2 linked regions of the Cricetulus griseus genome follow. The protein of the gene in region 2 interacts with the protein of the main gene of each other region in a pairwise test. Links are inferred from orthologs where the notes say so. Each region holds a gene or a part of one and is shown on either strand. Other genes may lie near its edges. The genes, in order: Plekhb2 and Cda.

Region 1 (7,217 bases), on a different chromosome or scaffold from region 2:
GAATCAATGATTAAAGAATAACAGAGACTTGCCAGCAGGCTGCATGGACAGCCACCCCCAAGGTCCTCCATCCATAGAAGTGGGCTGCAGGACACCTGCCTTCTTGCTGATAACTTGTGACCTGTGGATTACAGACTTTGGGAAGACTCGCCTACCGTTGGCCCAAGCAACGCCGGGAGAGTCAATTCCATTGTCCTCTTGTCCAAGGTCTGGTATATTTTGTAATAGTTGAGGTGAAGGGCAGGGTTGCTCAGTGACCAGCGTTGTCACTGACTCGAGATGAAGCTTCTTTAGTGCCCATCAGTCTTCTCGGAGGAAATGGGGTGGGGCCAGCAGCTGGCCTATCTCTCTGTTATAAAAAGCTTTTTAACAAAACATTTTAAATGCCATATTCTCTAGATCTCTGAGCATTTGAGGGCTGTCATCAGTTTAGTATCTCAGCAGTTAAAAGTTTGCCTTTAGTTAGAGAAAAATTCCTTTTTGTAATAAAAGCTGTACCTTTGTAAACGGCTTATAGGATAGACTGAGTGGCATAAATATTTTGTTAATTTGAAATAATCTTTATGATTTTAAATTTTTATCATTATTTAAAGATATATGAGTTAAATTTAAGTTGTATAGACTTAGCTTATATTTTAAGCATAGTTAAATTAGACCTTTATGACTTTAAATGTTTACTATCATTTAAAGATACATAGCAATTTAGAAACATGAGACTTAACAGTTAAATTTAAGTTGTATATAGAGCTAGATAAGTATAAAATTAAATTACAGGTACAAAGACAAGCAGGACTGGATAACAGTAAAGGGGGAACCAGAATGTAATCTCTGATCCGTACATTGTAGCAAATGGACAGGAGATTTAAAGGGAGAGAGTAGATTTAAAAAGAGGGCCCTGGAAAGGCATAGTATTTAGTAAACAAGCCATGAACAACAGAGCCAGTGAAAGAAAAAAAAGACAAAAAATAAAAAGCAAAAAGATCTGGCAGAAATCAAAAATCTGATAGACAGGTTCAGGCATTATGCTGGCCTGCCCCTGTTACCTGGTGGAACAGGCAGTACCCTGGTCAGCCCAAGGTTCCATGGGAACTAAGTCTGCACGCAGGTGCAGAGGACCCCTTTAAAAGACAAGTCCCTGCCCCTTTACACTCTCTGTTCCCTCTCTCTGTTCCCTCTCTCTGTTTCCCTGCTCTGTTTCCTCTCAGCTTCCTTTCTACTCTCTCTCACCTATGTGCTCTCTCTATGGTGACCAGCCATGGTGGTCAGCCATTTACCCCTGTTCCTCTTCTTAGTCTCCCCATTCTGCCGGGCCTTATAATAAACTTATAGTAAGTATGTCTGTCTCAGCATTTCTCTTTTCTTCTTTTTAAACAAAAGAGTAACAGGTGGTCCTGAGTCTTATGCTTGCTCAGGCCTGTTCCCATTCTGGGGAGTATTCGGTGCCTTGTCCAATATACAAAAAAGTATGGTAGTATATATAATATATATATATATATATATATATATACATATATATATATATATATATATATATATATATATATATTATGGAAATGGGCTCCCCTGGATTCCCAGGCTGTCCTTGAGCTCACTATGTAGGCAAGAATGACCTTGGGCTTCTTGAAGTCTTCCTACTTCATTTCCCAAGTGTTGCAATTACAGTTGTGTACCACCATGCCCTCTTTATGAGCTAGTTTTTTTTTTTATTTGTTGTTTGTTTGTTTTTTATGACAGTGGCTGTGTAGCCCAGACTGGCCTGAAACTCGTGATCCTCTTGACTCAGCCTCCACAGTTCTGGGTTCTGTGCTAACACACACGGATCCTTCCAAACTCCTTTCTTTCTTTCTTTCTTTCTTTCTTTCTTTCTTTCTTTCTTTCTTTCTTTCTTTTTTCTTTTTCTTTTTTTTCCCCTTTGGTTTTTCATACAGGGTCTCTGTGGCTTTAGAGGTTGTGCTGGAACTAGCTCTTGTAGACCACGCTGGTCTCGAAATCACAGAGATCCTCTGCCTCTGCCTCCCGAGTGCTGGGATTAAAGGCGTGCACCACCACCGCCTGGCCTCACTTATTTCTGTAATCGTTTTACTTTATATTCTAAGTTATAACAATTCTTTGTGACTTATTGCGAAGGATTCCAGCTTTGTTCCTCGGTTGCTGTTTCAGTTTTGACATCTTCATTTTCTAGTTTCCGAGCACGCTGTTCTCAATTCTGGCTCAAAGCAGGCTCTGCTCGCCCTTGGTTTACCCCAGTTAGGCAGTCATACAACTTCTCCGGGAAGCTGAGTTTGGAGGCCAAGTTCAGAAAACTTAGAACCGCCTTTGAGGTGATAGATAACTAAGCCCCAGTTAGGAGGAACTGCTCAGACTCGGCGCCGGCCGGCCCTGCACCCAGGCAGGCACCTGCCTCCCGCGCATGCGCGCCGGGCGGTGACGCAGGACCTGGACTTGCGCGTTCAGCAAAGAGCAGAAGAAGCCGGCGACCTTGCACTCCCAGCCTGATTCTTGCCTAGCGGACCGAACATTCGCAGGTGACTGTGCCCGCGGTGCCCCACTGCGCCCGCGTGCGACCCCTTCCCGGGACCTCCCCTGCCGGAGTACCCCATCCGGCCCTGCTCCACGTCCCTCCGGGGTGGGGGGTAACCACCTTCGCCAACACTCCCTCTCCAAGCCCGGCTCTTGGGCACTCCAACCTTGCTGGCCGCGCCCACTTCCTCAGCCTCACGTCCTCTCTTCGGTGACCCCTCTCAGCCACTGTTGCTTCTCCCTTCCCCAAAGTCCCCCCGCCACCACCCCTTCTCGCTCTCTTCCCTTTCTCGAATGTCTCCATTCTGACCCACGCCCCTCCCTCTTCTCTGATGTCGCCCTTCCTGATTGTATCCCGCCCCCACCAGCTCCTGCCTCTCCGGAGTCCCTTATCCTGATTGTATTGCCTCAGCCTCTGCACTACTTGTATTCCCTCCACCTCCTGTCTCCTTCCCTGTCCCCAGTGTCCCCCACGCTGGTTGTATTCCCCTTCGAGGTCTCTGTCTCTTCCCCCTACCCTGTTCATTGTCTCCATCCTGATCTGTCTTCCCTGCGTAGTCTTTCTTAATGCTCTGTCTAGCCTAGCGCCCCCCCTTTCCCTGGGTCCCCGCGGGTTTCCCCAGTGTTCCCCACCATAATCTTTTCCCTCCCTTCCCTACTTCTGGCCCATTCTGGTGCCCCTCCCCTTCTCCTAGAGCCCTTTCCGGGCTCCCCAAAGGCCCACATCCTGGTTATATCCTCCCCAACCCAGAGCATCCTTCCCCGTGTCCCCTATCCTGATGGTATCTTCCGTAGAGCCGCTTAGTCCTGACCCCCCCTTCTCCACCCATGGCGGGTGAGGAGGTGGTGGGGGCGCACTGCTGAGGATGGGACGTCTCAGGCCCCGCAAGGGACCGCTACTGCCTCACTGAGACCCTCGGGTTACTTGTCGCCTGCCATTGCCTGGCTCTGGTGGGCCCTCCTGTTCTACTGCACTTCCATGGTCGGCAGTCTTACCCTGTCTTTAGTTCAAGCGTAACTCCTTTTTATTACATTTAATTGTTACGCAGCTAGACTGAGACCTTGGGAGGTCAGGGATTTTATTTGGGATAAGCAGAAATTGTTTGTTGTATCTTAACTTTCAGATGCATAGTGGTTTACAAAGAGACCTCATGAAGGAGTGGAGTAATTCCCAGTGTTTTAGAGTAGGTGGAAAGGTTACAGATTCTAGAGACTGCATGTCTAATTCAGAACACACTGATTAATCCCTCCAAAGAAGCCTACCTCCCTCTCCCTCCCTCCCTCCCCCTCCCTTCCTCCCTCCTCCCCCCTCTCTGTGGTGTGTGTGTGTGTGTGTGTGTGTGTGTGTGTGTGTGTGTGTGTGTGTGTGTGTGTGTGTGTGTGTGGTTTACTAGGATAGAAAGACTGGTCTCTTGTGGTCTTTGAGGCAACCAGTGCAGGAAGTGACTTGTCCCACTTTACAGGAAACAGTGAGGTGGCAGCTGGGATTTACTGCCTGCTGACTTAGGGTGATGTGTGTTTGCTGAAGGAGTCATTGACCAAACATGGCTGTGTGTCTGCCAGCCTGTGCTGTGGTTTTGCCTTCTAGAGTGGAGAAGGGCATGTAGCTGGGAGTACTGTTGCTGCTGGCTCCTTCCTTAGGGTGCTTGGAGTGTTTCCTGGGCCCAGGAAGCTTTGCCTCTGTGTGGTCAGCAGGATTTGGTTAGGACAGATGGCCCCAAAAGAGACCCTCTAGCCAGGCAGGTGCTTGTCCTGGTTTCTCTAGTGTCTGTGATGTTTATTTTGTGTATGAGAGATTTCCCACTGTTCTTCCTCAGGGCAGGAATCAAAGGTGTTTTTCTGTCAGACACACAGTAGATGTTCAGTAAGTAAGGATGTTAGCATATCTTTGTAAGTAAATTCCCTGATAATAAAGACTGAATTTATGAAACTGGTGGCTCCTCTCACTATGTCTGTCTGCTATCTATCTCTTATCTATCTCTGGAAACTGTACCTTTAGGTTGTAGGTTTGCAGAGAGCCAGTGATCTGAGAGGGAGGCCGTGTTCATACCGTTGAACAGGCTCTAATAAGTCAGCTGCAGTTGACAGGTGGTACAGCAAGGGGGAAACGGAGGCAGTCTGACATTGCACAGTCTGCTATTCCTACTCAGTCTTGGCCTGCTGGTCAGGAGATCAGCCTAGACCCTGAAGTTCATGATGTCTATGCATTCCTCCTGATTGTCTGTCTGCTCTTCTCCGTTACAGTCTCTGTTAACTGGGTTTGGACATTCTTAAAATATCAAGTCCTGTGTTCCTCCCGGTGCCTCCTGGGCCAGAGGTTAACTCAGAATAGCAGACCATGAACAGGGGTGTGTGCAGATTCCTTTCTACAATACATCTTACCAACTTGTCCCTAAAATATAGAGGATAAAAGTGCTCTATCTGCCCTTCCTGTTCCTCGCCATTCCCTATTGTTAGTAATAAGTGGTATCTGTGAGTACTGTATCATAAGGACGGCGGCATCCTGCTGCCACGCGTTTAGTTTAGTTTAGTTCCTGTAAGGAACTTCCTGGCATAACCATACCATTTGCAACCAAAAGAAGTTAGACAGATGAGATGGGTAAAGAAAAACCAGTGAAGTTTCCCTGAGGCCTGCAGGGCTCAGGAGCCAGGAGGCCAGAAGACTGGATCAGAGCTGAAGAAACTCCCTGAGGAGTTTGTTTTTATCCGAGAGTTAGTGTTATGAACTGTCTTTACCTTTTGTTGAAATCTGAAGTTTTTTGTTTGTTTTATTTTTGTTGTTTTAAGCACACCCTATAAAAACAGCACATTGTTTGGCAGTTTGTTGCATCCTCTCTCCTGTCAGAGTGGCTGCTCAGAAATGTGTTCCTGTAGCACTCGCTAGAGATGGGGTGAGTGGGTGGATGGGAAGTAGGTTCTCCTTGACTCCAGAGAACTTGACTGTGCTTTAGCTCGTATTTTATATGTGACTTCTTTCTTTTTTTTTTTTTCCAGCCTTTCTTCTGTATTAGTGGATGACAGACAACTTAAAAGAATTACTTGATCAGTGTCAGCAACTACCCAAAACTTACACAGTACAAGCTGAGAGAGGAAAGATGTAATTAGATGGGTATTTCTTGTCCAAACCAGGACCATCTGCTCAGGGGTAGCCACACCCACAGTGGTCTGGGCCCTCCCACATCAATTTTTAATAAAAAAAAATGCCCTACTGACTTGCCTATAGGCAATATGATTGAGGGTTTTTCTCAATTGAGGCTCCTCTTTTCAGGTAACTCCAGTTTGTGTCAAGTTGGCAAAACCAAAACAGCACATACTCCAAAACAACAAAACCAACCTACTTGTAGTTTACTTTCTTTTCTTTCTTTCGTTTTTTTGGTTTTTTGAGACAGGGTTTCTCTGTGTAGCTTTTGGAGCCTATCCTGGCACTCGAACTCAGTGAGTTCCGCCTGCCTCTGCCTCCCGAGTGCTGGGATTAAAGGCATGCGCCACCAACGCCTGGCTTGTAGTTTACTTTCTAATAATTCTCATTGCCTTCAAACTGGAGGGGGGAACTTTAGTGACTGTATTATAGCAACTGAAAGTCAGGAAGCATGATTATGATTATATGTTTTTAAAATTCATAAAGACTAGTGTGTCTAAGTATAGACTTTGGACCCAGAAGACCTGTATTCAAATCCTGTCTCAACTCATCACATTGGGCAGCTTACTTAGCTTTCTGAGCCTTGCTTTTTCATCTGTAAAGTGAAAATATGCCATCTACTTGGCAAGATTATGCAGAATATGGCTGAAATAATGTACAAGTTTTTGACTCGGTACCTGACAGAAAAACTCAACCCAAGGTAGCTATTTCTACAGCAAGTTAAAAGTACTGTGAGAGTCAATTTCAAACATACACAATGATTTTTAATTCTGACTGTCAACTTGACATGATCTGCATCACCTAGGAGACAGAGCTCTGAGCTGTCCTGTGAGGGAGTGTCTAGATTGTGTTAACTGAAGTGGAAAATCCACTCTAAATGTGGATGGCACCACCCAATGGGCAGAGGTCCTGGATGAGTCAAAAGAAACTGAGCTCAGCATCAGCATCTCTCTCTGCTTCCTGACAACAGATATAATGTGACTAGGTGCTGCATGTCACTGCCATGATGGACTCTATCCCTTCAGCCTCAACCTAAAACAAACCCTTTCCTCCTTAAATTGCTTTTGTCAGTCATTTTGTTACAGCAATGAGAAAAAATAATTAATATACCTACCTTGAGGATGGGGAGAGTACCTCCAGGATATATGACTGAATCAGTCTCTGAAGGAACAGAAATATTTCGATTTCTTTGCTTGGCATGCTGAGTTCCATATGGTCCATAGTTTATCACTCCGTGTCATTAGTATGTATTATATATGTCACTGTATGTCCTATTATAGGATCCAAACATAAGTTGAGACTCACCAGGAGCCCATAGTTAAGAGACTGTGGGACATAGAGAGAATTGATTTTTAGAAAGACTTTGAAGATTCTAAAAAACTTGCCCCCCCCCCACCAAAAAAGAAGCCGGGCAGTGGTGGCTCATGCCTTTAATCCCAGAACTCTGGAGGGTGGGACAGGCCTATTACTGTGAGTTCAAGGCCAGTCTGGTCTACAGAGTAAGTTCCAGGACAGGCTCTAAAGTTACACCCAGAAACTGTCCTGAAAAACCAAAAAA
Region 2 (7,221 bases):
CTTTCCTTTGTCAGACTGGGAGGCCCGTTTTCGAAATGTCCCACAATAAACTTACCTCTTGTTTTTACATCAGCTGGACTGGACATTGAGTATTTTTGGGGGGACCGTCTGATTTGTGAAGACTCCTCGATCCGAGGGTCTTTCACTACCACACCCCACTAAAGAATCTTTTTGAGACAGGATTCTCACTATGTAGCTCTAGCTATCCTGGAACTCACCATGTAGACCAGACTGACCTTGAACACACAGAGATCTGCCAGCCTCCACCTGAGTTCTGGGATTAAACATGTGTGACAATATGCCCAACTACACACACACACACACAACACACCTTTTTTTTTTTTTACCGATGTTGAGATTGTTAGTTTTGTAGTGAGATTAAGTCCTTTCTGGGAGCCTGCTTTGATGTTTTTCTGTGAATGAATGAAGTTGTCAGGAAAGCACACCATCCAGCAGACCTTCCCTTTCAGGTGGTCTTGAGCAGGAACCTTTCAGGGAAGCATGCACCCTAGTGACAAAGCCTATTCTAGACACACCCATTGAGGGCAGGACTCCTGCTTCAGGTCACTTCTACAGCTAGAAACCTTTGCTCTAGGTAAGACACGCCTCAGTGAACTTCCAAACACATCCAACCAGAAGCCCGTGGGCAGCATGCAGTTAAGGATACCTACAATGGAAGCTCAACACAAAACAATAGCCTTTTAAAGTATTATGAGATTTGGGGGGCTGAAGCTATGGCCCAGGGGCTAAAAGTACATACTACTATTGCAGAAAACTAGAGTTTGGTCCCCAGCACACACATCAGGCAGCTCACACCTTCCTGTAACTCCAGGTCTAAGGGATCCAATACCTTCTGACCTCTGGGCAAAATAACTGCACTCACGTGTTCATACCCACACACAGACCCGTAGACACACAAAAGACACACACAGACAGATGCATACACACAATTAAAAATAAATCTTTAAAAAACATTTTTTTTGCCAGGTGATGGTGGCACAAACCTTTAATGCCAGCACTCGGGAGAGGTGGCAAGTGGATCTCTGTGAGTTCCAGGACAGACTGGGCTACACAATGGAACCCTGTCTTGAAAACCCAAAGAGAGAAAGAGAGAGATTTGTGTTTTGTTATGTAAATGACAACATTCATTTGTAAGGTCAAAAGGTTGGACACACCTGTGCCTTGACCCCCACCTATAGCTACTCCAGTGACCCATTTCAGCCTGCTCTGGATTTGATGCCTCTACCGGTTCAGAGGGACACTCCCTTGATGACTCAGGAAGGCTTGTGATTGACAGATGGGAGGGATGACTTTGGTCTTGGTAAAACCTGAAGTGGCTGTGTGTTGCATGCCACACCTATGAAATACCCACCTCCTCCTGGCTCTGTCCATAAAACGCTCATGTGGAGGGGACTTTTTTTTTTTTTTTTTTTTTTTGCCTACTTGCAGTCTTTATGGCAGGTAAAGACTCTTGCTATCACAGGTAGAGCAAGATGAGCTGGTTATGCAAAGAGGAGACAGCAAAAACAGTTGCAGCAGTGACACTAGGCACAAAAAGGTGACCTAGTGTTTCAGAGAGTAGACGGGGCGAGGATAATGAGGAAAAATGTGGAGAAGGCAGAAGTTTGTGGAAAGTAAGGGATGAAGCAATGCCTGCCTCAGGCTTCAGAGCTCTAGGAAGTGGACAAGCCTTAAAGGCCAAGGGTGCCATAACGGAACTCACTAGCTGCTGAGCACCAGCCAGGCTACGGGCAATCCAAGCCCAGAGCCCCGCACCTCCCTTGTGAGCCCCTGAAACTCTAGGTCTCTGAGTTGTAGGTTGGGGAGCACAAGTCTTACATTTTCCAGACTTGGAGCGCTAAGCCCTTGTGTCAGTCTGTCCATACCACAAGCTTTGGGCACTAGAGGACCCAGCACTACCAAGCTGAAAGACTATCCCTCCTGGTTTACTTGTGACTTTTGCGTCCCAGTAGACAAAAGGACCCTCTCTCAGTTCAGTGGTAACATTTCTGCACTCCCACCCTGCAACAAGGTTCTGCCCATAGAGCCTGAGTTTGGGATGAGATCTAAAGTGGGGTGCAATGGCTGTAAGAATGAAGAGCAGAGGCTGCCTGCGCCCTTGTCCTCTAGGGGGTAGAGACTCATCTGCCAGGCAACAGAAAGCAAGCAGCACCCATCATAAGAGTGGCGTGTAGCATGCTGGGTGTAGTGGCACACACCTTTAATCCCAGCAGTCAGAGCTAGAGGTGCACCTGGTCTATAGAGCAAGTTCCAGGACAGCCAGTGTTACACAGAGAGAGAAACCCTGTCTCAAAAAACAGAATGGCATGGCACCCAAGTCCCTGGGTCAGCCTGCCCTGAAATTGGAGCTACCGTGCAGGCTTGTCACCCACAAGGGAAAGCTTCCTGACTAATACGACGGCACTCGCCTGCCTCCCTCCTACACTGGCTGTGAGACTGCAAGAGATCTCCCACACAGTTAACAGGACACTCCTGCTCTTGGTCCATGCCAACCTCGTCCCCAGCACAAACCAGCTCTGCCTTTGGCCATTTACTTTATCATTCCCCTGCTCCAGCTGGCTAAAAATTCCTGGTTAAGGCCGTGTGTGTGTGTGTGTGTGTGTGTGTGTGTGTGTGTGTGTGTGTGTGTGTGTGTGTGTGTGCGCGCGCGCAGTGTCCATCCTGATGCATTAGTATAGAGGCCAGACTGGGTCAACCTCAGGTATGATTCCTCAGACACCACCCACCCTGTTCTTTGTTTTCGCTGACCTAGCACTTGCCACTAAGGCTAGGCTATCTGGCCAGAGGGCCCAAATCCATCTGTCTCCATCTACCCAGCACTGGCAAGTGAGTGCCTCCAAGCCTAGATTTTTATGTGAGTTCTGGAGATCAGCACTTTACTGACTGGAAGATCATCCCAGATCTCTTTCCTCCTTCTCCTCTTCCCACAGTCCTGGTCCAAGCCATGTATGTACTCAATGTACTCCATAAACCCCGTCTGGAAGCCCCTGAAACCAACCAGATTAGCTAGGCCTCCCCCTGCCAGAGTAAACCGTAAAAAATGAGAATCTCTCTCAGATGAAGGAGGCTGAGTTGCAAAGAAGACTCTGAGACCAGACCAGCTGCCTGCAAGAGTTTAGAGCAAGCAAGCCACATGAAAAGGACACTCCAACCTGTGGAGCTGCCTGCAGGCTGTGCAGCGTGTTCCAGGTTCCCAGCTTTGTGAGTTGTCACCCATGCTGGGGTGGCCTTGGTGATGCAGCTGCCTTTGAGTCATTTCTGTGCCTGTAAGTGACCCCTCATCCACATTCCTGTAAGTGACCCCAATAAAACTCATTGGTTCCCCGAGCTGGACTTTGGAGGCATCTGCACTCAGGTCTGTCTTGGGCTCCCTCCCTGGGGGTGAATAGATGTGTGTTGCCATCTCCCAAGGAAAAGTGTCACACAATACCCAGGTGATTCAGGACACCACAGAACCTCAGTCAACAAGACATACAAAGGGGCACTGTAGTTGTCTCCTGTCCATGCTCCCTCCCTCCCTCTCTTCCCTCCCTCCCTCCCTCCCTCCCTCCCTCCCTCCCTCCCTCCCTCCCTCCCTCCCTCCCTCCTTCCCTCTCTTCTCTTTCCTCTCCTCTTGCCCTCCCCCTAAACCCAGACTTTTGTGCATGTGAGCGAGCATCCCACCAGCAGCTGCAGCCACTCTGGCCTAGGCGAGTGTCTATAAAACCAGAAATTAAACAACATGAGCCCAGGGCAGATCCGTATTAACTCAGTGCAGACTGCTGGGCACCCGGACCAGACCGTGCCTGGATCCTCTCCTAGACACTACGCAGGAAGCTCATTCCTCACCAGCCGTCCTCAGCACCCTAGTGTGCAGGAGGAGGGGAGGCTTTGGGGGCCTCCAGCCCTGGGTGCCATCACCTGCTGTGACTTAGGACCTGTCTCTTGGTTTCAGCTTCTTCATCAAAAAACGGATCTAACCCCGGTCAGGAGGTTAGAGGAAGAATTTACAGATGAACAGGCGAATACTAGGCATGCAGGACCTTCTGAACGCGTCAATCCTCTCCTGTCCTGCAGGTCGCGGGGGTGGGGGTGGGGGGTTGGTTTTGGCCTGTCCTCCAGCCTCACCTGCAAACTCCCTTCCCCATCCCAGACTTCTAAGAACAGAGAACCACTGTGTAGAACAACAGTTGAGTTGCCCCACAGCCTGGGCAAGGAGGCCGGAGAGGCCCAGTGAGGAGGGGCGGCGTTGCTCCCCTCTCCACGCGTACCTGGGCCCCACCCAGGTTGCCAGGGAGGGGGCCACGGCGCCAGCCCTTACCAGAGAAGATCCTCCCGTCCCCGGTGAGCAGGGCAGCTCCTACAGGGAAGCGGCTGTAGGGGCAGTAGGCTGACTTCTTGGCCTCACGAGAGGACAGTAGCAACCGCTGGACGTGCTCGGGCTCCACGGCACAGGAGGGGCGTTCCTGGGCCATGTCGGTCCGGTCCGGGGTGGGTGTGCTGGCTGCAGCAGAGGAGAGGAAACTGTAGCTGGCGGTCTGCTTGCACTGGCCGGGAGAGGTGGCTCCTCCCCCGGGGTGTGTCCCGCGCGACACCAGAGACCTGGAGGCTCCCGGGGCTGGAGCCCCGAGGATACCGTTTCGGCTGAGCTGGGGAGTCCCAGGGTGGACCGATGTGTGGTGCCCACGAGTGAGTCAGTCTCCTTTAAAGCCTTCACTCAGTGCCAGCCTGGATCATGAGGGGGTCACAGGGCCAGTGCCACTTCAGTGAATGGTTGGAGACAAACACCGTCCATGGGAGGAGGATTCTGGGTGGGTCTGTGTGACCTGAGCTCAAAACTCAAAGGGTCCAGAGCCCTTGAAATTTCTAATGGCTTTTTTTTTTTTTTTTTTTTTAACTGAGAGAAGGGATGAGGCTGAAGGGCCACCATGGCAGTGTGCCAAGTCAGAAGGTATGCAAAGCGCGGGAACGTCTCTGGTTTCAGTGGTTTCCTTTCTTTTCCTCCCAGTCCTAACCCAGCATTTAAAAGCATATCAGCTGAAGGGAAGCCGGGCCTTCCTTCCTTCCTTCCTTTCTCTTCATGGACATTGGGTTGGTGGTACCAGAAATGGATTTATACCCTGGTTGTTCCTTTTCTCTCTCATATAAATGTTATCTGGTTCCTTGATGAACGTTGGCAGTTTTCCTCTGACTACAGTAGCACGGAAGCACGGAAACTTTGGGTTAAAGTGGGCTCTGGCTTAGACTCCAGGTCTGTTTATTAGCTCTTTCCATGACCCAGGGAGAGCTGCACTGCTTCTCTGAGCCTCAGTTTCCTTATTTACAAAGTGGGCACACAGCCAGCATCGCCTGCCAATGGGTGTGAACATGAGATGATAATGCCGAATAGAGAGCCTGATGGGAGGATCTAGAAATGGCACGTGTGAACACTTTACACAAACCTGGTTATTGTCTACAAGTGACTTGGCCAAGATCGTATAGAACGGGCCAAATTCCAGGCCGTGCAATCAGGCACGTCCAAGTGTCTCCAGATGGCCAGCATGCAAGATGAATCAGCAACTTCTCTGAGTGAGGCTTGTGTGGTGCTAAGGGCTGGGTCGGGGAAGGCATGGGAGAAAGGAAGAGAATGGGACACAGACACCTCTGCATCCAGGGCCGTTAGCTCTCAGCCATATATAGATGAGGTCACACCTGGCAGTGCCAATGCCCCAGGGGCAGGGTTTGCCTCAGTTCCTCCCCACACTTGTCTCTATTAGTTCCTGCCCACCCCACCGTATCCATATCTCAAGAGGCTCTTATCCCTCCAGCTTGGTACCCACCCATCCAGTTGCACTTTCCCCTTGGATGGGGACTTGCAGCATGAAGACAGGTCCGTGGATCTAAATGATAAATGTTTAGGGGCCAAGTGTAATTCCAGCTTGGAAAAGGGTGATGGTGTCCTCATGGCAGGACTCAAAAAGACTTCAATGAGTAGTCTGGTCTATGCACCCCACCCTGAGGAGACAAAAAAAGGGAAAGGACCTGGCCAGATGGCTCAGCGGGTAAAGTGCTGGCTCGCCCAGCAAGCTTAACATCCTGAGTCAGAGCCCCAGCATGCAAAGGTGGAGGAGAGAACCGACTCTACAAAGCTGCCCACTGACCCCCAAATGCTTGCCATGGTAAGCATGCACCCACTGTCACATATTACACACACACACACACACACACACACACACACACACACACACACAATTTCCTTGTTGTTGGTGATGCATGCCTTTAATTCCAGCACTTGGGAGGCAGAGGCAGGCAGAGCTCTGTGAGTTTGAGGCCAGCCTGGTCTACAAAGCAAATTCTAGGACAGCCAGAACTGTTTCACAGGGAAACCCTTTCTCAAAAAAAAAAAGTATTCCTCCAAGGACTGGGTATGGTAGACATGCCTTTGCTGCTGGTATTTAGGAGACAGAGGCAGGTAGATCTGTGGGTTGGAGGCCACCTTGGTCTACAGAGAGAGTTCCAGGCTAGAAGGGCTACATAGGAAAGCTCTATCTCAAATAAATAAATAAAATAAATGATTCCTTTGGCCTCTTTTGACCCATATTTTTGTCTTGAAAGTTTGTAAGCCTGAACAATACATTCCAGAAACAACTTTATAATGAGTGTCATACACTAAAGTTCTTACAATGAAAATAAGTACACCAAAAAACGTTTTCACTTAAACCTGAAATCCTTTGAATGATGTAGCTGTGTAGTTTCAAAAGTCACAAAAATATCACACACATGCACAAACACGCGTGCATACACACACACAGAGCTATTGTCTTTCTTGAGATGCTTGGTTTGCACTCCCTCTTGAGTTTGTACTTTCATCCTTTTCTTTTTAAAAACATTTACTATCTATTACTTTTTAGTATGTGTTTCTACGCAATGTGTTTCTGTGTGAGCTTGTGCACGTGAATGCAAGTGCCAGTGGAGGCCAGAGGAGAGCACTGGATCCTGAGGAGCTGACAACACAGGAAGTTGTGAGATGTCTGATGCCAGGGCTGGGAACTGAACTCAGGTGCTCAGCAAGAGCTTGAAGGGATCTTAGCCACTGAGCCATCTCTCTAGTTCTTTTTCTTAATCTCTATCCCTCTCTCCCCCCATCTCATATTTAAACCTGCATTAAAAACTTTTACAAACTGCCAGGTGGTGGTGGCCCATGCCTTTAATCCCGGCACCGGGGAGGCAGAGTTCCAGGGC

The links.
Region 1: the proteins of Cda (region 2) and Plekhb2 interact in binary tests that used the Homo sapiens proteins (3 or more experiments, as listed by UniProt). The two-hybrid records come from large-scale screens. The link is inferred for Cricetulus griseus from reciprocal best matches to the Homo sapiens genes CDA and PLEKHB2.

What each region holds. Positions count from the first base shown.
Region 1 is NW_023276807.1:13,221,252-13,228,468, reverse strand, and holds the start of Plekhb2 (pleckstrin homology domain-containing family B member 2), read left to right. Parts: upstream 1-2,381; 5' UTR 2,382-2,525; intron 2,526-7,217. UniProt on the Homo sapiens protein: Involved in retrograde transport of recycling endosomes.
Region 2 is NC_048595.1:14,985,660-14,992,880, reverse strand, and holds the start of Cda (cytidine deaminase), read right to left. Parts: upstream 4,684-7,221; 5' UTR 4,476-4,683; coding exon 4,322-4,475; intron 1-4,321. UniProt on the Homo sapiens protein: This enzyme scavenges exogenous and endogenous cytidine and 2'-deoxycytidine for UMP synthesis.